Lepisosteus oculatus: one gene and its partner. The protein of the gene in region 1 purifies or fractionates together with the protein of each later gene. This does not show direct contact. Links are inferred from orthologs where the notes say so. Each region holds a gene or a part of one and is shown in the gene's direction. Other genes may lie near its edges. The genes, in order: ubiquitin carboxyl-terminal hydrolase 15 and tut1.

Region 1 (12,056 bases):
GTAAGACAGCCTCTTTTTTAGTAGTTTTGTACAGAAAAGGTGTTATCAGGATGTTTGACAGTGATAATGTGAACTCCTTGTACTGTATATCTGTTCCTGAAGTTGTGCTCGGACATTTACTTTCATTCAAAGCTTTGATACTCCACTGAAAGTGTTTTAAAAATCAATTCCACTGTTGCCTACCCAACCATGGGTAACAATGAATTCCAGTTGTCCAGCATTCGTAGTTTAGAATGTAAAATTCTGAAAAGAATTGAATGATGAAATGATAATTCTATTAAATTCCAATAGAAAAGTGCTGATTTGCGATATTTGCTACCATGCTGAAAACCAGGATTTTAAAATACTGTACAAAAAACAAGAATGTTTTATGCCTAGCAAATCAAAGAAGTAGCAATATTGCAAAATCGCTAAAAAAAAATAAAAATAATATTTATTATATTTCATATACTATGGGAGACCTACGTAATAGAATTAAAAATGAAACATCTGTGCTTTTAAAAAAAAATCAAACATAGAATAGAAGACACAGCTGACAGGTTCAATTCAATTATGACTGCAGCCCTGGGTTCATAAGTACCTTAAGCTCAGTAAGCAAGATGGAACCTTGAGGATAGCTTTTGTTTGATGAATTACTGGAGAAAAAAAAAACTGTAAACCACAGCATTCTTCCCGAGTCAGTAGGTCTACTGCCTTTTCCTGTTGATCTTTTAATTGTGAACTACCAGATCTGAAGGTCTGGCCAAGATTAATGGAAGCAAGATTGATGTTGTTGGCACCAATGCCAGGCCTTCATTCAATCTCACTGAGCAAATGAAACCCTTTGCTGGACCGAGGCTTTGAATGCAGTTTAACCTCTTTGACTATCTTCTGGCTGTGAAAAAGACCTTAGAGGGTAAGAGGCACATGGATTGAATGAGTTGATTTTCTATTCAAATCAGCGTCGTTGCTTTCCCATACCTCCTCTTCCACACCTAGGCCAGCGTGCCTTTTCAGTGGCAGGAAGTTGGTTCGGTTTACAAAGTCCTACTCTGTTCGGCTGGGCGTTGTGTGTAATACCCACATCAGGGCCTTCACCCTGATTAATTCAAGGCCTCCTCACAGAAAATGCACACATTTTGGAAATCGGGCTTGCAAAATTGTCCAAAAGTGTTCCATGACGCGGCAATGGATTTTTTTTTACACTTTGACTTTAGTTGGGAAAGGAACCTTTTGAAATGTGAAGTGGGGACAGTTTGTGACAAAACTGTAGCGAATTGCTTTACTGTATATTGTATTTGGTGATGTACTGTACAAAACATGACCAGCCTTGAAAGCACCCTCATCAGCACGAAGCAAAGAAATAACATTTCTGTGGCTAGCTGAGCAGGGTTTCAGTGCAAACTAACGTTAAACATTGTTAATTTTTAAGTGAATATCATTAACAGTGTGGTGAATCAAGAAATATTAATCAACACTAATAACAGTACATAAGCACGATGATTATGCATTACAAAGGAAACATCCTGTGTGGATCCTCTCAAATTAAATTTAATCGTCAATGTTTAGAATCACAGGTTTTGCTCAGTTACCTGTGAATATATCTCTATTGTTACTTCAGCTTATGTGTTTTTTGTTAACCACACTGACGAGTTCACACACCGGTTTTCAATAGTTTTGGGAGCTGTCTGGTTTGCTGAAATCTTTTCTTGTCCTTTATTCAGCTTCATTTCATAGCTAGGCAGTACTGTCATTCGACCAGTAATGTTTGAAAAATATACAGAAGGTATAGTTTTTGTGTTATGTGTTCTTATTGTTTTTAGGTTATAAGGTTACTTTAGGTCTTACCAGCAACAGCTGTTGCAAATGTTACAGAAGTTAAGGAAGAGTAGTATAGGAAATACTACACTACCCAAATGATGTTAAAGACCTGAAGAAGGCTCTACAGTGGGAAATGTTGTATTTCTTTTCTTTACCTTTCCAGTCCAATGCAGGGCAGACACAGACACACACAAGCACAATTTTTTCCAGTTTTCCCAGAAGCCATTTAACCTACCAGCATGTCTTTCAACTGTGGGGGTAAGCCGGAGCACCCGGAGGAACACCACACAAAACAAGAGAAGAACATAAGAACTCCACACAGATAGCATTCCAGGAATTTAACCCAGAGCCACAGCACTGCAAGGCAGCAATGCTAATCACTGTGCTATGGTGCTGCCCCAAAGTCATATCCTCAGCAGGAAGTTGACTTCACTAGCTTCCTTTATCCAAACTCGTTTCATTACTACGTATTTACCTTATTAATATATAGTGATAGAAAGTTCAAAAAGTTCTAATAGATATTTCAAACTAATACTACGGTATATATTAAACTGGAAATTAGTTCGATGATCTCTTGTGTCTGTTTCTGAGTATTGTGCAGAGGATCAATGTACATAGTTAAACGCACACAGAAAAATCAACTGAAAAAAAGACATGATTGTTTACAATAATGTATTATCTTAATTGGCATTGCTTACTGATAGTTAATATTGTACAATGTAGTCAAACAATAACAAAGCCAAAATCCCAGAAAAGGTGTGTTTGGGAGTGTTAAGAGCAGTCAGTATTTTTTATGATTAATTTGCAAAGGAAAAGAAAACAAATGCATTAGTTGCTTTTTTAATGGATTTTTATTGTTTTGGAAACATTAAAAATAAAAACTGATCTCCCCTTCATCCTATTACTATTCAAAATAGTAATCTGCACCTGAAGAGGAGAGTATTCAAAAAGCTTACAGCAACATCTACAGTATGATAGAGATAAAACATATTTGAATATTATATATAAAAACTAAAATAAAATAATGATTTAACTAGGACAGTTGCAGACTCCCACACTCTACTGTATCTTGGCACTGTGGATATATCCTGTGGAAAGTTCCAAGTGATTTGGTTTTCTATAATTTTACAAACTTATCTTTACAAAATTGTGCACAAATGGGTCTTGTATTTTAGAAAAGTGTAAATGCAGATTTTAGGAAAATAATTTCTTATACATTCTTCTTCCAGTTCGTGTACTTAGTTACCTATTTAACTTTTCAATGTGAAAATCACCATTGTCATTAACTCTGTTGATTAATTTTATTTCTCTTTGGCATAGCACTCTGTACTAATTTTTGTAACAGAATAATTATGACAAATTCAGTGTTGTGAATTTGTACAGTGTGTAATGAAAACTATGCAGATGTACAAATGTATTTCTAAAAACAACTCATTGTGTGTGGAATTTTGTTTGGCTTCGTCTCCTCCCACACCCTGCTCTGTTTTCAACAGTAGTACACATTTGCAACTCAAAATAATTAGAATAAGAATAAGTGACATAAGTCGTCGTAAAAACACAATTCCAGGTAGCTTTTCGTAGCTGTTTGCTTCTGAGTAGGTTCTGCGACACATTTCCTTAAATTAATAGCAAAACCTAAAAAGGTTAAAAGTAACAGACTTTTATGTAAGCTTGCAAAACAAATTAGATATATACTGATGGCAAAAAGAAAAGCAACACCTCCTCCTCCACACTCTGGTCCTCCCGTCTGCATGGAACAGGCTGAAGAGTGACTCATCCGTGAAGAGGACCTGATGCCACTGCTGACGAGTCCATTGCAGCCTCTGTCTGGCCCAGGCCAGTCGGGTGTGACGTCTAGGAGGTGTGAGCAGAGGGCCTCTGACAGGTCGCCTTGCTCCAAGACCAGGAGCATGGAGCCTCACTGTCCTGTCACTGATGCGGGCATTGTGTCTGCCAGTAGTTTCAGCAGCAGTATGGGTGGCAGATCTGAAACGATCTCTCAGATGGACCAGTCTGAAGTGTCGGTCCTGCTCTGGTGTGGTCACTCGAGGGCGACCGGATCTTGGGATGGTCATCTGTCCTGCTGGTCTGCTGAGACCTTCTCTGCAGTCGGGACACAGTGGAGCGGCTTACTCCATAGTGTCTGGCAACGATGCCACATGACATGCCAGCCTGCAGCATGCCAATGTCCCTCTCCCTTGCTTCTGGTGACATTCGAGGCATTATGGAATTCACAGAAAACTGACTGAGTGTGGCCCTTTTCTTGCAGTGACCTAAGCTTTGAATTAATGCCCTTTTAAAGGTGATCTGATCGGGCATTGTTCCACCTGGACCTTGTTGGGTAAAAGTGCACCTAACGAACTTTCGTGTGATTGGCAAGTTGCAATGCCTCACTGCACAAGCTGTATTGCTGGTCAGAGGGCTTAAAACAAATTGGCAACTTTTTGTGAAAGGATATAAGCTATAACTATAGTATTGTAGCACTCTCGGGTTCACGGGGGTATGCGCCCTCGCCGCTGCCAACTCAGGTCGGCCCCCCACCGTTGGGGACTCAAACCCGGGCCTCCAGCATCACTCAACAGGGACCCAGCCAGTTGAGCTAAAGGGAAATCTCCTGTTACCCCGACGGCTGTGGTCCCTGCTATTCACAGGGAAGGGCGGTGACGTCACCGCGCCAGTAAGCCGGCTCGCACAACCTGCAATGGTGGCCGTATGCGTTACAGTATTCTCATTCCAGAAAATGTTGCGTTTCTTTTTTCCATCAGTATACATTGACAGGTAACATGTCTGTGGGACATAAACTGCTGTTATACGTGGAGCTGGTGAAGTAACCTCAAAGTGAAATACATTCTTAGCTTGATCCATGATGCTTTGAAAATAATCTACTGTAGTTTAGCAAATAAAAATGGAGCAGAAATAATCAACATCAAAAACTGTTTATGGGTTTTACTCTGCTTTCCCCTGTGGCCTTGTACTGGATAAAGGAGTTTAGAAAACAGAAGAAAGCAGGGATGGATAACAAAATTGTGATGAGCAATATTCTAAAAGAAAATACTTTAATCCATCAATCCATTTTCTAACTGCATCTCCCAATTCAGGGTCATGGGGAAACCGGAGCCTATCAGAGCAAGCATCGGGCAAAAGGCAGGATACAGTACATCCTGGATGGGATGTCCATCCACTGCAGGGCACAAACAGACACAACCACAACCAGTCTCACATGCACATTCACACCGGGACCAGTTTTCCCAGAAGCCGATTAAATACCCAATACAACTTGAGGAAACTTGAGCACCTAGAGGAAACTCATGCGAACACGGGGTGACCATACAAACTCCACACAGATGGGACCCCAGGTGCGGAATAGAATTCAGGCAGCAACACTGACCACTGCACCCTGAAAAATACCTTAATATTATCTGGTATTTAATATTGTATATACTACTTACAATTACCATATGACTACATTATGGTAGACTTATGGTGTCACTTAGTGATTCCTACTGCTGGGTTGAAATAGTCATTGCCCATCAACTCAGAAACTCATACCCCTCAGTGGGACTGTAGAAACATTCGCGAATAATTGTAGTTGGCATACAAAGCATTCGCTTAACAATTGAATTGTGTTGCTTTTGCATTCATAAATCAAAAGAATTACAACAGCTAAAGGTTTAGTAGCTGTATACTTTCTAAATGTGAAGTTTAGCCCCCTTTCAATTCACCAAAGAGACATTTTGGGGCTGCAAAGTAGTATATTAATAAGGAATGTTGTCAAACACCTGGTGCTTATTTAAGAAGGCATGAAATTCACCAGTATGAGGGTCTGAATATTTTGCCACAACCCAATATCAGTTTTCTTGTGGATTGTAATGGCTTGACTAGACCTATGTTATGCCCTTTTCTAGCACTAGGTGGAGGTGAATCTTCGTTTGGGCTTCGCTGAGCGGTTCAGCCACTCTTCACTAATGTTTTTAGGAGGGGCTTCAGAGCTGTTTTGCGATATTCCATATAATTTTAAACTATTTCAACGCCCTGCGGGGTGTTCAATTTTTTACTGCATCAAAATGTTCTCGGAGACTTTTAGATTAAGTTGTGACGGACATTCGGCTAACAGGATTCCTCTGTGATCAAGATTTACAAATCAAGTAGGCACAACTTCAACTTTCCACACCCTGGGTCACTGCCTGCAAGAGCCCCGTCGCAGATTGATCACGAACCTCCAAGCCCCTTCCGCCTTACGTACGCCAGTGACGTCGACCTTCCCATGATGCAGCGGGGCTCTGCTAGGGAAAGATGGCCGAGGGCGGAGCGGCTGATCTAGAAACCCAGCGAGCTGAGATCGCGGCGCTGCTGAAAACACAGCTGCGGAAGGGAGACACTTGGTAAGAGGGGGCTGTTGCTGTATGGGAGCCCTGTGGCTTGCGATAGACAGCAGTGGCACGGGCTGTCATCTCAACGGGGCCGTGGGAAACCCGCAAGCATGGCCCCTGTTCTCAGACATTTAAGAGGCTCACTGGAGCTGATTAGCTGTGGGAACAGTGCGACCGGCACTTTTAGGACTTCTCCGGTGTGAAAAAGTCCTTGTCGTTCACATTTGGAATGCCACCGAGTGACATCTTAGTTTCCCTTACGTGATTGCTGTTTGGGGGCTCCGTAGCTGTCAGAGAGAGGCCGGTGAGATTAAAATAGGTTCTTGAAGTGAATCAGCTTGCTCGCCTTCTGCAGGAGCGAGGCGGAGAGCCGAGGGCAGCCACCTGTCAGAAATACTTCGCAATCGGATCTACAAGTGTCACCAATAAGCATAAAACGCACACTTGGTCCGACGACCTGCATGATGAAAAACGTGTGCCCCGTTTCAGGAAAGCTTCAGAACAGGGTGCTCGATTGTCCATCGGTTCCCACGAAAGCTGCGGCTTGCTGGTCATTCATTGTGTTCTAGGAGATAAATACGAGCTACTGTAGCGAGTTTCTACATTTGTGCGTATGTGTCTTTCCCTAATTCCTTCTCAGAAGCTATCAAATTAAAAGCGCTCGTCAAGTACGCATCGCAGGTGGAGATTTTTGTAATTGTCATCGGTTCTGCACAGTTGTGGATCTGTGCCGAGTTTTGTATTTTGACTGACAGGTCGCACATGGTCAGTATGAAAGTGCAGATTCCGAATTGAAAATATCGAGTTGGAATACCGAAAGGGGCAGCCTTAGTGTGTTTTGAATTGAGCAAATACATCCAAAAAAGTCATTTTCGTTTGTATTAAATACTTTTAACTGATATTTTTGAACGCTGTGTATAATCCATACTATTTTAGAACTTCCTGGGTGTTTCAAATACTGTGTTTATTTGTGACCCTTTGAACATAATCTTAATAGAACTGGAAGTTCAGTTCATTACATTTGAGCTCTTCTGCAGTCTTATTATTAGGGCACATTTTGCTGTCAGTGGTGGGAAAGCCTCCCTTGCAAAATTATTCACCCCCTCCTTTCCCCCTTCCTATTTATTTGAATTACAAATTATGGATGCATGTTGTTTTAAAGACAGTATTTCAGTATGTCTGATCTAGACTGCTCAAATATGTGAGCTAAAAAAAATAAAAAAAATAAATGTCAGTAAAAGGTGCAAAGAAAAATCAAAAACAAAAAAAAATGTATTGATTGAATAAGTATTCACACTCTGCCGTGGCAAACCTCATTTGGGTCAAGTGCACACATTAATTTCTCTACAGTTGGTTGAATGGAGGGTCAGCATGGTGAGCCAGTAGCTGGCATGGCTGTATGGAGCCCTGGGTTCAATTCCAAAGGTTCTATCTGTGTGGAGTTTGTATGTTCTCCACATGCTCATGTGGGTTTTTCCTCTGAGTGCTCCAGTTCTCTCCCGCAGCCCAAAGACTGCGCCTTCTGAGAAAACTGGCCCTGGTGTGTGTGTGTGTGTGTGTGTGTGTGTGTGTGTGTCCCATCCAAGGTGTACCCTGCCCCACACTTGTTGCTTGTCAGGTTAGGTATTGGTTACCCAGTGATCCTGTATTGTATAATGCAGGATCACTGGGTGGCAGGGTGAGCCACCGACAGCCTTGGAAGAGCTACAGAGTTCAGGGGCTGAGATGAGACAAAACGTCCATGGGTTTCCATATCCTAGTCCCTCCACAGATCTGGCCAGTTTGATAGAGTGGCAGAACCATCTCAGCAGAGCATGTTCCTGCAAACATGGGGCAAAAGGTTTTGTGATCCAGCAGCTGACCATTATGTCTAGTGCAAACCCAACACATCATTCCTGGGCGCAAACTGTTCCTGGGTAAATGATCATTCACTGACTAATGTTTGTACCGGCTGCTGTTAAATCCACACCTTTTACAGCTACCATCATGGTCATTTATACTTTAAGAAAAGATGAGGAGTTTTCAGATCTGTACAACTGCCTTGAAAGAGCAGCTAACTGAAAGAGATTAAGTACAGCTAATTAGTAACTCAAGTAGTATTGATTCTGATGATCTCATCATCTGTCATAGAAGGCATTGGAGCTTTATTTCCTGATCAGCAGTTAGCGCAGTCAGGGCTGTATCTCCAGTGTACTGTAGTTCAGTAAGCACAGGGAAGCCTCATTCTACAAGCCTATGATCTAATCCAGCTGCTTCTGTGGTTCTTCGTGGCCGTGGTTTTTGTAAAAAAGGGAAAAAAAAACTTTTTTACAAAACTTTAACTGGAGTTAATTTCCTTACTTTCATGCTTGTGCATTTGAGAAAAGGACACTTTTCATGTAAACATCTGAACCACATACTGTACAGCCACAGGGAAACAACATGTGCTGGAAGCTATACAGACTACAGACTTTTTGCATTTTGGATACTTTTGATTGCTTATTTCAAGCCTTACATATTTTTCTTGACTCCCTGTGAAAATGTGATTCCTGTATCTCAGAGACAAAAACTCTGGCTGCTGAAAATTCCTCTGTTTTCGTATACCTTTAGGCTGATGTACTCCAAACATACAATAATAGCTTTATGAATTATTTTCAGAAGCAATTCTTGTTCATAGAGTATTGCACATAACACCTAAAGCAAAGGTCATGGAGTTGCATAAAATACATGTTTGATGCAATAAGAGCAAGTAAAATCAGTTAAAATTCCTTCTTCAGTGGTCATACCAGTTACTGGTATGCCAATTGAAATTGTGCTGTAAGCATTATGACAAGGGTAGTTTAACCAATCAGTGTTAAGAGCTAAGCTGCAGAGCTTTGCCTAACATTCTCCAAATTTGCTGCGACTTTTGAAAATCAATAGACTGGGGAATTTGCACAGTCAAGCTGTTTGATGCAGGCAATCTGCTTAAAACCGGTAGAATCATTTCTTCACAGTGGCAATGATATGTTTCTTTAAGAAGAGCGTGACATGAGCCATTTCTGGGCTCAATGAAATAAACTGGTTCTCTGAGCTGAACTAGTCTGAGGGAGACAGCAATTAACTTTTTTACCGCTTTGAAAAGCTAGACATCGTTTGTTTGGATGTGAAATCCAAATCTCAACTCAGATTATGTTTAACTTGGACGCACATAAAGTGCAGTGTTCATCAAAGTGTGGCACAATGAGAGGACTACTAGCCATAAGAGAGAACATAGTTTGCTCTTACTGGTATCTATCTTTAGATTTTTCGGCACAATAAGGAGGATGTCCATACGGTACCATGAAGGAGGAGGGTTAAGTATCCTGTTGCTGAACGAATATATTCAACAAGCAAAGTAATAATCGGAAAAAATAATGTGTAATACTTATAAGTATGTTGTGTTTTTTTTTAACAGGTATTTAGTAGATAGCCGCTGGTTCAAGCAGTGGAAGAAATATGTTGGTTTCGACAGCTGGGACAAATACCAGATGGGAGAACAGAATGTATATCCTGGCCCCGTTGACAACTCTGGCCTCCTCAAAGGTACATCATGCTTTCGGTTCTTTTCCCGGCTACCTCAGAGATGTGCTTCCCAATTAGCCGTGTGGCCTAGTGTGTTTACACAGTGCCTTGCAGGAGTATTCTGACAGTGTTCACGTTTTGTTGCTTTAAAATCTTGCGGTCACGACTCTTGAGAATATTTCTTATACTGTATATCCAATCTAGTCCGCACATTCACGAACAAAGAAGTAAATCTTTAACTTGGATGAAAAATGGAAAGGGTATGACTTCGTAAGTATTCGAGCTTCTTGCTACGACCACCCTAAATGAATTTTGGTGCGCAAAATTACCTTTATGAGTTAGTTAACGAGTTAGTTACTTTGCAGGCAGGTGGAGACGCACTTCATGCATTATTGGAGTAATCACTGACCAATACAACATGGTAATGTATACTAAATTTGCTGCTGGAAGAGGAGTTAGTGGCACCAGTAGGGGGCGCTCACCCTGTGGTCTGTGTGGGTCCTAATGCCCCAGTGTAGTGATGGGGATACTGTACAGTAAAAAAGGTGTTGTCCTTCAGATGAGACATCAAACTGAGGTTCTGACTGTTTTGTCTCGAAAGAGTAGGGGTGTTGTCCCGGTGTCCTGGCTAAATTTCCCACTGGCTTTTAACAATCCTGGTCTCCTAATAATCCCCACCTCTGATCTGGCTTCATCACTCTGTTCTCCTCCCCTTGAGAGCTGATGTGTGGGGCGCATCCTGATGCAGTTTGGCTGCTGTTGCATCATCCAGGTGGGGCTACATACTGGTGTTGGTGGAGGGGAGTCCCCCATTACCTGTTAAGTGTGAGTGACGTTTTATACAGGGGGGAAAGGATTTAACAAGGTGGACTGAGCAGAGGACACTAACTGGTGCTCAGTAACTTGTATAAAGGCATTAACACCTTCCAGGCTAGGTGAATGCACAAAAGCAATGCCCGAGAGAATGTTTAAACCCTCCCTCTCTGTGCATCCAGAACAGAGGGAACTGGGAAAGAGGTGGACAATCAGAGGTGCGCCAGCATCTGAACCTGTGCAGCCCTTGAGTGGGCAATGTACTGTATACCTGTTTCCCTGGATTGTGGTGTAAGGGCCTCTGGTGCATTTGGGGGCGAAACCCCATTTTGGTACTAGTGACAATTTCGGGGAACCCAGATTACCATTGTAATGGTACGTTCTTATAATGTGCTTTTCAATGTGTCCCATGAGTGCCAAGTGCCCACTCAATTCCGCCCAATTCTTTGTCTTGGATTATGAACCCAGTGAACTGAATTGAAGACTAGGCCAAGATGGAGATCTGATCTTTGTCCCTCTGCCGTACAGATGGCGACTCCCAGGCCCTTAAGGAACACCTCATCGATGAGCTGGACTACATCCTGGTGCCCACTGAGGGCTGGAATAAGTTAGTGAGCTGGTATGGACTGACTGTGAGTCAAGAGCCAATAGCACGCAAGGTACAGTATACCTACCCCGGAGCTGTTGTTGTTGTTGTTGTTGTTTTTAAACACCAGACTAACATTTTATACTCGCTGCTATTAATTATGCATTTGATCTATATTGGGGCACCTCATAGCATATGTAAGGTTTGTAGAATGTAGCACACTTCCTATTATCTTCTCTCTCAGAGACATGCACAGCCATTTAACATTTCCACTGTCCACTGTCCTTTCCATCATTGCAAACCGCTCAAATCCTGTTAGTCTTTATCTGCTGATCTCTCTCACGTTTGTCTTTCTGAGAAAGTCTGGGTCTGATGTGGCTTCTTTCAGGGGAGATGCTGCATAATACGATCATGTACAAAGTACCTCAAAGGTAGGTCTTGAGTAAATCCTGAGTAAATACCAAAAAAATACTCATTCGGATGTTTCCATTGAATCAGCAGGGTATAGAAATAACCAGGCGTTCAAGTGAAGCCCTTCAAAGTAAAAAAAAAATGAAAGCCTGAGATCAAGTTCTTCGATACAGTCATGAATGTGTAAGCCTTTTTGATCCGTACTCGAGTAAATACAGTATTTAATCTGTCTAATAAACAGAGATTCCCTACCTATTAGATTATATTAATAATGCATTTTTGGCCACACCATGCTTGCCACACTCGTAAAGAAAAAATAAACATTATCTGGATCCGAATCATAAAAGAAACATTTCAATTTATGGAACTGTTAACGTTTTTGTTTTATTTTTTACAATAAATCCATGTGGGTCCTAATGCCCCAGTATAGTGACGGGGACACTATACTGTAAACAGGCGCCGTCCTTCGGATGAGACGTAAAACCGAGGACCTGACTCTCTGTGGTCATTAAAAATCCCAGGGCGTTTCTCGAAAAGAGTAACCCCGGCGTAGT
Region 2 (12,056 bases), on another chromosome or scaffold:
ACCGTGGTCTCGCTGCGGCCGTGAAAGCTTAAATGATACATTTCTTGAATAAATGCATTTTTTTGTAGCACCGACCCGCTTAGTTACGAGTACTCGCAATTGAAAAGAACGGTCCGAAAAAAATGAGTGTCAGTAAACAAACTATCTTTACCTGATGATCAAGGAGATATCCCGTTTGCCTTTCTGTAGGAGATGTCCGGATCTTCGACGGCGGATGCGCTAGCTGGTGTGTATTTTTTGGGGGGGTAAAAAAAAAAAGAAATGTATGTGTATTTTTTTTCCCGTCACAGCTCTCTTTCCTCCATATTGGCAGCTCCTCCACCAACAACAACATTCGTGACGTCACTCCCCCGTCACGTGACCCCCCCCCCCCCCGGCCGCGTGCTAAAAATAGACTCTGCAACCACTGAATAACCTACAGTGGGAAGATAACCCACACCTGAGTATGGTGGCAGACCTCGCGTCGACTGGCGCTCCTGACGTGTGGTCTGTCTCCCCAGTCAACGTCTGACACAGCGAAATGTTGCGCTGTTGACACGGCGTTTCGGCACAGGCGCGGATGCAGACCTCTGCGGCTTTTGAAGTTCGGAGAGAACGTTACCACCGATTCATGCTCGTCTAGTAAAATATATATTTCCACGATTGTAGCGCTGCATTGAAGGCAGTTGTCTGTCGTTTACCAGATGCACGTTCTCTTTTTTTTGTGGAAATGGAAATGGGTTTTGGGTGGAAATGAGTGAGCATATTTTATGCGTCACAAGGCGCGCTAAATATATGTTCTCGCAGTGTTTCTGATTTACAACGGGCACGATCCACTATCTCTTTTTCAGCGTTTCCCGCTGACATTAGCCTCATCCGCACTTGTTAGAACAGTAGAAACATGATGAGCCCGGTTGCAGTAGTTTGAGTTTTTTTCCGAGCTTTAGACCTTGTGCTTAGAAGTTGTGCGAGTTCACGCCAGTACCCGAGGATCTGTGTGGGGATATGCTGTGATTCGAGGTCAGGGATGGACTACTTTCAGAGTCATGCAATTAAATCTACTCCAATGCTCCCGGCCACGAGTCACAGGCCGGTCCAGGTCAAAGGGTTCCCACCTTGCTAAACTTTGGAGCGTTTCTGTCGGCTGCATGGTTGGACATAAGCCCACGACAGCATTTGTTAGTCATGTCAATCGGAGCGAAGTGGCTGAGATGCTCGCCTGTAGTTATAAAGTCTGCCGAGCTCCTGTCCGTGCAGACGGTCCCCCCGTTGTGTCTCACGTCTCACTGAGAGTCTCGAGCCGCGGCCCGGAGACCCCTCGAGACACGGAGCTCTCTTATTATGAAAAGTACCGAGGAGCGGGCGACGAATCCCGAGCCGGAAAACGACGCGCCGCCGACACAAGTTTGGGGGGGGAGAGGGAAAGGAGGGAGTTGTGAACATAAGTTCGGGAATGGAGACATAATGATAAAGGACAGAGGCCGAGAGAAAGCATTGGTGCCATCACTATGCGTTCTCCAGCTTGATGCTTGTTGCCATGGTTACCCGGGGCCGGGAGCATGACTGGCATTCTAAGTACCGTTGTGCAACACCGCGAGCCCTTGCCTGCGCGGACAGAGACACGCAACACGTGTTCCCATCATGCGGCTGTTAAAAGGGCCTTGACAAGCTCTCCATCAGCTTCCTCATTCAACACAGCTCAATACTCCTGCGGGGATGCGGTGACGTCATCCCTGCTCTTCAAAAGAATGAGTCACGGCAGCTTTGTGACGTCAAAGCCTCCTTTTAGGAGAAAATCGAAAAGAACATTAAGGTAGATACATAACTGAAAAAAAAGACAATTACATGAATATTTTTTTTCCTCTGGCAGTATCAAAGGACGTGGATATGGGATACGAATTATGTGCTAAGACAAATCAAATTATTAATCTTTCTAAAACCGTTTATTTAAATAATAAGTCTGATCACCGGAGTAGATTCAGTCTTCTTACACAATTCTGCAACCCAAAGTTTCGCGGTGAAAACTATCTCAAAAGCGCCTTCACGCTGATCACTTCAACATCTTCCGTGAGCGTAGCTACAATTCAACCCTCTAACTCGATATAGTGGCAGAAAACAGGGCGTTAGGTCAGTGCGGGGGGAAAGTTTTTCCATTATTAAAATGCATTTCACCCTGTTGTGCACGCAAAAGCGTCTCGACACTCTCTGCTCCATTCGACGAAAAAGCGTCCTGCACGATGCCCGTAAATTGTTTCTCTCGCACATACTAATGGTTTTCACCCATTAGCGTGGTTTTCCTATGCCAGTCTCTGTGGCAGGCTGGCCGAGATGAATGACCCCGCCTCAGTCCCCTCACCCACAGCGCTCCCGGACAGCAGCCGGCGAGTCAGGGATGAGGACCCGTCTCCATGGCGATGCGGCGCTTTTCATGCCGGCGGTAGCGCTCTCGTGCTTTGGAAGCAGATGAAGATATCTGTCGTTCCTTCGACTCGTTGCGGACGTCTGCTCTATGTATTGAAACAAAGAAGAGTAGCAGCCCAAGACGATAAATGACCTAGACTTCTGCAAGTGTTGCCGTCTTAATTATGTCCAAAGAGAGATGGAAAATGAACTATATATTTTGCTAATAAACTCTTTTGTTTTTGTTGATCTTAATCCTATAACTTAATTGTGTCTGGTGTGAACTCAGCCTGTGCTCCACTTTAACAAAAATCACGAAGTTATTAACCCCGAGTGTCCTTGAGAGTAGTCAAATCACCAAACCCACTTTACAGCGTTAGGAACGGTCTGAAACCAGAGGAGCCCATTCATAAATCTAACACGTCTGGTAGTTCGTAGCTCATCGATCCTCTAACCTCGGTAAAAGGACGAGAAGCTTTTTTCAGTTTCCCACATCTTGAGAACACTGTAAAATAGCTCTCTCTTTTGTAACTTAGTGACAATTTTAGCAATGATATCTCTTAATTTTAATTTAACATATATAATGAGATTCTCCTTGATTTGTATTGCTTTCCAACTTTGTCTGGAAGATGAAAATGGCGTGTCAACATTTACACATTCCTTTTTTTCCACAAAGCAGCTTTTTCAAACTTAATGTCCCTACTTGGTACAGTATTTAATGTTTTTTTGCTGCCTGTTCGTAATACTCTGCACCTTGTCTAACTTAGCCCCCCCAAAATGTTTTTGTTTGATCGATTTTAGAAGTAAAGGATTATCAGAAAGCAATGATATGAAAATGTTATATGTCAAAAATGAAAATGGTATATTTCATGATTATCTAATGTCTGGCTTTGGCACGAAGCCTACTGCTCGGGGTCGAGGCTAAATTGTCTGCATCGGCGGACACTTCCGACTCAAACAGAGGGAGGAGGCGCTATATTCGTAAGTGAGGGATGACTCACATACAAGTGAGTCAGATTTCTACAGCCAAATCTAAATGTCAACCCCCCATCTCCCCCCTTCGCAGCATTTAATGAGAAAAAATAGATCCCACACAAAGAAGAAAAAGTCACAACTACTTATATGACAGGAAATTGTCTTTGGAATCGAAGAGCTTTCTTTTCCATTTTGTATCAGATCCACGACGCCTCCCGGTGTATCTTTGAAAACAAAGAGTGTGGTTTGCGTTACACGGAGATGCTGGTGCCTGGATATCACACAAAAAAAGTCCGCCACCCCTCTGTACAACAATAATGTTTATAAAATGTTAATGGTACAAGACAAGGAGAAAAACACAAGAGCAAACATTTCTTTATCATTAGCGATCTCCTGAAATTGCTGTTTAAAATGTAGAGTTTTTTTTTCTTTTAAAAAGCTTTAACTGATCAGATAGGACGCAGTGATATGTATATAAAACTGTTTTGTGTGGTATTTATATGTTAGTGCTTTTTGTTCGTTATACACCGTGCATGTGAGACGGAAAACATGCAGATGTAAAACATCAGTGAGATTTCCTGAGAATTGCTGGGTTTTATAAAGCTTTGTCTCCCTCGTACGGTGGGACTCTGCAAATTCCGCGTGTGGACTTCTTGTTCCTCCGGAACTAAAAGTTCCTATCTTTGTTGCCATACCGGGGCGAAATGATGGGAGGGATGAGGCAGGGGAGAGTGCGTGGAAGGGAGGGAGATTTAATTTAATCCTTATTTAGTTAAGAGATTAAGCGTATTTCTGTTATATTTTGCTTTTGATCGAGATGGAGTTAGATACAGATATCCAGCCTGTTCCGAAAGGAGGGTTCCATTGCAACTTGTGTGATGTCAGTGTACCAAACAGTAAGTTTTGTCAAGTTTGCGCAGCACCATTACTTACAGAGCAGTTTACAGCAGTGGCATGATTGTTTGAGAAACAGAGTTTATTTCATTTTTGTTAAGGCGAATAGATTCAAAAAATGTTTTATGGCTGCGAAGGAATCTCACAGCCCGTGTATGATAAAAGTAAGCGGCTGTATTGGTCCTGCGTTTTCAGTAACACTGGGCAGTACGTGCTTTCCTCTTTCTTTAGCCTTTTTAATGCACGTCCGTGTGTTTGAAATGCATGCCCGTGTTTGTTTCGGCGCAAGGCTCCTGTTTCGTTTGTATCTGCACACGTTTCTGCTTATCTAGAGTGTAACGTGTGTGGTTATGCAGGGACAAGCCTTCAGGACCACCTGAAGGGCCGTAAACATCGGAACCTGTGCGCCGTCCGGGACACTCGCCGGACCCAGGTGGAGAACAGCGTGTTCGTCAGCGGGTTCCAAAAGGGGACGTCGCAGCAGCAGATCATGGAATATCTCCAACGCTTCGGACCCGTGTCCGAAGTCATCATGGATAAGGACAAGGTGCGTTTTTGTAAATATAATATCCTGACTCTCTGCGGTCATGACAAAATCCCAGGGTGTTTCTGGAAAAGAGTAGGGGTGTTACCCTGGCATCCTAGCCAGTCAAGGCCTCCTAATAATCCCCATCTCTGAACTGGCCTCATCGCTCTGTTCTCCTCCCCACTGAGGGCTGTACTGGGGAGTGTACTGGTGCTCTATGGCTGCCGTCACATCATCCAGGTGGGGGCTGCACATTGGTGGTGGTGGAGGGGAGTGCTTTGAGTGGGGTGTCCAAAAAAAGCGCTATAAAAGTGTGAGGAATTATTATTAACTAACTAGTCATCACTTAACATGTCAGTTTAAATAGAAGTTATTACAATGATGTCATGCAGGCAAAAGAAATATCCTTTACAGGTATCTGCTGAAAGCAGGAGTATCATCTGAACAAAACAAGAGATGTGCAAAAAGCATAAGTCTAGTAACGGGTTAGTTCATGTCCAAGCAAAGGGCATGGAATGCAAGGCCGAGGGAAGAATCTGTTTCTAGGACAACCGAGAGTCGAGTGTGGGACTGACCAGGTATGGACGTGGGTTGTTGTTTCTCTCCAACTGTGTCTCCCAGGGTGTCTATGCCATCGTGGAGTTCAGCGACAAGCAGGGCCAGCAGGCAGCCCTGTCTCAGCCCCAGCACAGCATGGAGGGCCAGAGGCTGCGCATCAAGCAAAGGGAGAGCAAGGAGTTCAAGTTTGTCCCCAAACGGAAGCAGGACGTCACCAAGAGCCCCTCGATGAACCCCGAACTTCTGTCCCATGCCCTCTGTCAGGCCAATTCTGTGAGTCTCTCTCTCTCTCTCCTTGCATACCAGCCGGGTTCCAGTCCTGCTGGAGCTTTTGTTTATTCGCACTGTCTGAGCTCTTCATGTCTCAGCTGGATTCTGCATCAGGCCACCTTAACATGATTGATCTAAAAGGATCTACAGTATAGTGCTATCTATAGGTACCAGTGTCTGAAACAAGTCTTTTTTGCTGCTCAATTATATGTTGGGTTACACATGTTTGGTGTTCTTTTTTTATCACATGATGTACCTTTTACCAATGCAGTTTTCTGGTTGGAAAAAAATGCTAAACCTCTTGCATTTAGATTAACTGTTTTTTTGCGTTGGATTTCACCAGGCACTTTCTCTTCAATTTCACAAGTGATGCTGATAGACTGTTATTCCAAAGCTTGTTTAACTCAATTATTAGTGCTTCAGTTTTCCAATTTAGGTTTGACTATGTTCTGTATATATTCCAGATATTCTACTCACTGGCTTTTGACCAAGTGACTGTTCTTTTCCACAGAAGGGATATGTCTTTAATGAATAATAACCACAAGTACACAAGTGTTTAAATAATTACAGGCAGTCATAATAAGCACCATAAACTCAGAGGAATTTCTCAAATTAGGGTCTAGTGTAGACTTAGTGAGAACTGATTATCTGTTCAACTGTATTAAACTGTATCAATACAAGAGGTATGTTGTTGGACTCTTAACTTGGGAAATTCAGAATCCTAATCATGCCTATACATGTGATATTATGTGTAGTCATTTACTTTTTATTCAGTACTCATTCATTGTAGCAAGAGGCAGTTAAAATGTTCTGGTGGATAAAGTCAATTCAGACACAGGCTATACTGCTCCCTTTTCAGCCTGGAAGTGTAAAGGTGTGTAGGTGTCTGTACATTGTCACTCTTAAGTCTTTGCATCCAATAAGATGGTGATTCTACCAGCACAGAGCTGTGCGCTGTAGCACTGGCTGAGAGCTAGACCTCCCAGCTGTTGTAATTCTGATTTGCTTTTTTAAAACCTATTCCTAGAATTCTGAAACTAGTTTGATCCCTAGTTGTGAGTCAGTTATTCCTCCATCTCTCATAACACCAGGTGAGTGGGCACCGCCGGTGGGGTGATCAGAGTCTACAAAGGGTGTGAGTAAATAACTCTGGACTGTTTGGGGAGTTGCCAGAGGAAAGGACAAGTTGTTTTTTAAGAGGCGTCTCGTGTCAGAAGTGCGGAAGAGTGATGTAAAGAGAGAATTAGTAACCCGGGCCGTGGATTTGCCAGCGAGGAGGGGTAGTGTGTACCGCATGCTGTGCAGATTATTTTGATGAAAGCCGCCTGCGTCTCCGGGCATCGGTCGGCAGAGACGACTGAGATGGGAGCACGTGGGCTGTGAGCTTGTGGTAAGGTATGACGCAGCTCCTGTTTTTCAGTCACCAGGCAGCGAGGATCTTTGGGTAGAGCGAGGTGTCGCAGTGATGCGACTTCCCTTTGCTCCTCTGAGTATGTTAGTCTCCCAGGCCTCAGACCCTGGGTGCTGTGCTGTGCAGAGTTGGTGTGCTGCAGTACAGAGGAGATGAAGCGTTCAAGCCTGGGGCCCTGCTGCATACTTTATACCAGGAGATCTGTCTCTCTGATGGATTGGCGAAGCAGAACGTTCAGCCTCTGGCCTAGTGTTTGCAAAGAGGCTTCTCCGTCACGTTTGGTTTGCTCTTTCATCATTGCGTCGCCACCTTGTGTAAGGAAACGGAGACGTTCTCCAGCGCCAAGTCCCGTTTGCCAGTCCCGTCCCTGCCCAATCTGTCCAACCGCAAAAGAGATACCATGTAAGGGGAAAGTCATTTTAAGAGTGGAGCTTATTTGAACTGGCTTACCAGCTCCCTCTGGCTCGGTGCAGACTGCGGCAGGAGATCATTTCTCTGCTTGTCTGCTTGTCCTGGCAGGTGGCAGAGCAGATGCAGATGCTGGTGGACTTGTTTGAGCTGTCGGACAGCGAGCGCAGCACGAGAGAGCTTTTGATTGCGCTGTTGCAGGAGGTCTTCAATGAGTTCTTTCCAGGTACTGCCTGCTCTCTGTCCATGGCTGGGTTTTCCTTGTGGTTACTCGGTGTTGCCGTGGTGTGCCACAGCTTATATTGTGTTTTACCATAACACCGGATGCTTTATTGGGAATTAAACTGTTTCATCTCTTCCTGTGACATGTAATCATTAATAATGATCTGATCTGTTTTTTTAATGCCAGCTTTAACTGTGCAATATGATACAAGAAAGTACGTGCAGCAATTCTTGAAAACCTGCATTCTTTGAATGCACCAGTTCATTCAAGCATAGTAGGACTAAAACCTTTTCATTACAGCTATTCTCATTCCTAGCAGACATGTCTGTATTACAGTTTTTAGTTTGTGTTTGGAAATGCACTTTGGCCTACTGTATTCAGAAAAGGTCCAGATTTATAGTAAATTTCAGTTACCCATTTCGAGTCAATTTCAAATATCCTTTTCACGTCTGAAAAATACAAAGTAGGTTGGACAGTCTCTGTCCTGGAGAGCCTCAATCCAGCAGGCTTAAAAGTTCAACCTTAGTTTGTCAGTTTTCAAACTCTAGTAACAATTTTGTTTTGACTGCTTACCTAGGTGGCTTGTTCAAATCAGTTTTTCTAGATCTTGTAAAATGAACATGCCAACACCCCGAAGATCTATTAGAATAATGTCAGCTGACGATTAACTGAACCATTGATCCAAACTCAAGTGTTTCAGGTCTTTAGAAATTGATGATTGAAGGATGATCTTGTGTCCAGACCACACCTATTTATATCTGAAACTCTGTTGCTCTTTAAAAGGTGATTTCTGGAATTCTGACTATAAAACTCTGTCAATGTGATGTTATAGACAATAATCCACTCTGTGCATGCATTTCTCTCTCAGAGTGTAAGATCCTGGCCTTCGGCTCTTCTGTGAACACTTTTGATATTCATTCCTGTGATTTGGACCTCTTTCTGGATCTGGAGAACACCAAGACCTTCCAAGCCAGAGCCAAGAACTCCACAGAGCAGGTATCAACGGTATCCATTCTGCATGCAGAGATCAGTCGTGAGACGGTCGAAAGAAGTTGTGCTTCAAAGCAGCGCAGTGCTTCCTTATGTTGTACAGCTGCTTTGCACAAAAGCATTCCTTTTACAGTAAGAATTACTAGATATTTCAGTAATAGTCATTTAGCAACTGCTTTTTATTCAAGAGCAGTTTATGTGATGAACTATGTAGGGAGAGCTCACTGCAGTAGAGTCACTGATAGGACCCAAGAATTATGAGGGAACCACACTGAACCCTCTACCTCTGGCATTTGCAAAAAAATTCATACTCGAGCACCATTATGAAGAACTGTCCCTGCTTATATATGGCTTTGCCAGCAGCCATATCACCCAGCAACTCACAACTGACAGACCACTGAAGCTAAGCAGGTGTGAGCCTGGTCAGTATCTGAATGGGAGACTCCTGGGAAAAACTAAGGTTGCTGCTGGAAGAGGTGTTAGTGGGGCCAGCAGGGGGCGCTCACCGTGAGGTCTGTGTGGGTCCTAAAGCCCCAGAATAGTGATGGGGACACTACACTGTAAAAAGGTGCCGTCCTTTGGATGAGACATAGAATGGAGGTCCTGACTCTGTGGTCATTAAAAAATCCCAGGGTGTTTCTCGAAAAGAGTAGGGGTGTTATCGCAGTTTCCTGGCAAAATGTCCCCCTGTCCTTTACCAGTCATGGCCTCCCAATAATCCCCGTCTCTGAACTGGCTTCATCACTCTGCCCTCCTCCCCACTGAGAGCTGGTGTGTGGGGAGAGTTTTGGCGCATCATCCAGGTGGGGCTGCACACTGGTGGTGGTGGAGGGCATCTGTACAGTGCTTTGGGTGGAGTGTAAGCAATTATTCATTATTATTATACCTTTGTCCTCTTCGCCAGGCCGGAGAGGGACAGTGGGAAGACGCACGCTCCGAGGACTCCATCCTGTCGGACATGGATCTGGCCACGGCCTCTCCTGCGGAGGTCCTGGATCTGGTGGCTACCGTGCTGCGGAAGTGTGTCCCTGGGGTGCACAAGGTGCAGGCGGTGAGCTCGGCGCGGTGCCCCGTCGTCAAGTTCACCCATCGAGACCTGGGGCTGCAGGGAGACATCTCCATCAACAACAGGTCAGCTGGAGGGCTTGGACTCACCCTGACACGGGCCCAGGATAACGGCATCGTGGGAGACAGCGATATGTCAAACGTTGCAATATTAATACATTGTCTTTGAGTGATCATCGGGATGTGCTGTCTTTGCTCGGAAGTGCCACTGTCCTGAAGTTTAATAGGTGACTTAAATCCCTCATAGCTAAAAGATCTGGAGGAAAGCCTGTTCGTTGGTGACCTAATTGACCAATTAAGTCTGTTATTGATTAAATTAAGTCATTAGGAGATCAGGCTGTACCAGTGCCAGAAGACCTGGCAGCAGTACTTTTTATTTTTTCTTCTGAAGCACTTATCTCAGTTTCATTCTTGACACCATCCAGAATTTCTCATGAAGGGCCAAGAAACCTACATCACCATCATGTCTACCAGGAACAGCATTTTATTCAAAGCCTGCACCTCTTAATCCTTACACGTAAAAGGATCTTTCAGAAACGTGCAGTCCTTGAACAAGTGACTTATCTGTCATCTCTTGTTGTGTTATTGTGAGCAACTTTCCATACAAGTCATGGAATGCATCTGGTCCTCAAACTGCATGAACATACCATCGTTAGAGTGATGCTCTTAACAGTATCTTGGTTGATTCAAATGAATCACTTTCCACTTGTTTCCTATGCATTTCTTCTCTTAATGTGCATGCCTAAAGCCTTCCAGACATGCTCAGCAGTAGCAGCTGTATTTCTGGGTCTTCTGCCTGTGTGCTGGCTTGTTTAATGGGCATGTGTTTAATTGGTCCTAATAGCTCTGGGCATTCTGGCTGCTTCAAGAAGACCCAGTACATCATGAGGTTTTGTAGCTCTGCAGTAAGAGCTAAAAATAGCAGACTGGACAAAACATGGGGCTGTGTGACATCTCCTCCTCTTCACTGTTCTCTCCCTCAGGCTGGCTGTCAGAAACACCCGATTCCTCCAGCTGTGCTGCTCACTGGACAAGAGGCTCAGGCCCCTGGTGTACACCATCAGGTACTGGGCAAAGCAGAAGCAGCTGGCAGGTAAGGCGCTGGCTGGTGCTTTTGTTTTTAGGCATGACAGTGACATCATCATGATGTTTCCCGCAAAAGGAAATAAATAACCTAAAAAAAGCCTGGTGGGATTTTGCAGAGGTAGTGCGAAGAAGAGCAGTAGGTGGAATCATTCTAAGTGATTTAAGTGCTGACAACATAAATAATGCATGGCCCTTTTTTTGTAAACAAGATCATAAATGTTCTTTGCAGTTGCTCGCGAAGTTGCTTTGTAGATCATGCTGTTTCCTTTAAAATAATGGAATTTTTTAACTTTTCAGTTTTCATTGAAAGTTAGATGGAGCCACATGTATAGGAGTATTTGGTCAGTGTGCCTTGCTTTCTTCCAGAAGTACTGTACCTGTCTGCAGCAGGACAACTGTGATCTCCTGTAAGCTTACAGTCTGGTAGTCGAATCGACCAGCAGGGGGAGCCAGAGCATTTCGATTCCCTTCGCTGTGTGGTTTATAAAACCTGCCCAGGAGTTGCTGAGCACGCTTTTTTGCTTCTATATATTTTTTTTTGGAGACACTACCTGATAAAATTAGCATCATTACCATCTTATCTTACCAATGCCCAGTCAGGCTCTTTGGTTCCGTTGGGCAGAATCATGCAGAGAATAGAGCAAATCTTAAATCATCAGCTGCTTATTGACGTAATGGAACCAGCTGAACAGCTTCTCCCAGCTCTTCAGAAGCTGACTTGAAGGGCCAGGAAGCCTGCAGAGATACCGGCCCTCCGGGGCCTGGGCTGCCCTATATGAACGTTTTTCAAATATCCATGGGATGCCGTGATATTTTAGTTTTTGTGAATGTTGTTCCAGTTTGATTAGCAGTTTATTGATGACCTCAAACTTTTTTTGTTTAGCTCATTAGTCCTTATTTAATCATTTCTGAACTCCAGAAGTCTGAAGAATTTGACTAGGAAGTTTGCGACTTTCCAGAGAACCCAAAGCAGGCGAGGAAGTCCAGTGAGGTGAATAATGAAGTGGGTCAGGGCTGAGGTTTTCCCAGGTCCGTCGCCTGCTGCTTCTCACTCCAGCCCGGCTCTGTTACTTCACTGAAGACTTGCAGTCAAGAGCAAGTGGCTTGATTGGAATACGTGCCACTATCTTGCATAGCTTTAAGATTTGAACTTGCTCATGCAACACAACAGTTAAACGGAGCCGAAAGTGGTTCGATTGTTCAAACGAATCAATTATTAAACCGACGCAGGGGTTCGCCTGTTTAAGCGAGAGCTCGGCTGGCGCTCAGAG

Evidence for each region.
Region 2: the proteins of ubiquitin carboxyl-terminal hydrolase 15 (region 1) and tut1 purify together in Homo sapiens (affinity purification with mass spectrometry; 4 studies listed by BioGRID and IntAct, with this or other methods). This does not show direct contact. The link is inferred for Lepisosteus oculatus from reciprocal best matches to the Homo sapiens genes USP15 and TUT1.

What each region holds. Positions count from the first base shown.
Region 1 is NC_090702.1:5,055,262-5,067,317, forward strand, and holds the start of ubiquitin carboxyl-terminal hydrolase 15, read left to right. Parts: upstream 1-6,055; 5' UTR 6,056-6,093; coding exon 6,094-6,182; intron 6,183-9,585; coding exon 9,586-9,713; intron 9,714-11,033; coding exon 11,034-11,164; intron 11,165-12,056. UniProt on the Homo sapiens protein: Hydrolase that removes conjugated ubiquitin from target proteins and regulates various pathways such as the TGF-beta receptor signaling, NF-kappa-B and RNF41/NRDP1-PRKN pathways.
Region 2 is NC_090723.1:7,413,600-7,425,655, forward strand, and holds the start of tut1 (speckle targeted PIP5K1A-regulated poly(A) polymerase), read left to right. Parts: upstream 1-4,059; 5' UTR 4,060-4,171; coding exon 4,172-4,250; intron 4,251-4,604; coding exon 4,605-4,795; intron 4,796-5,395; coding exon 5,396-5,605; intron 5,606-7,532; coding exon 7,533-7,647; intron 7,648-8,512; coding exon 8,513-8,640; intron 8,641-9,538; coding exon 9,539-9,765; intron 9,766-10,682; coding exon 10,683-10,792; intron 10,793-12,056. Other genes in the region: hdac5 (histone deacetylase 5), read right to left, coding at 152-334. UniProt on the Homo sapiens protein: Poly(A) polymerase that creates the 3'-poly(A) tail of specific pre-mRNAs. Localizes to nuclear speckles together with PIP5K1A and mediates polyadenylation of a select set of mRNAs, such as HMOX1.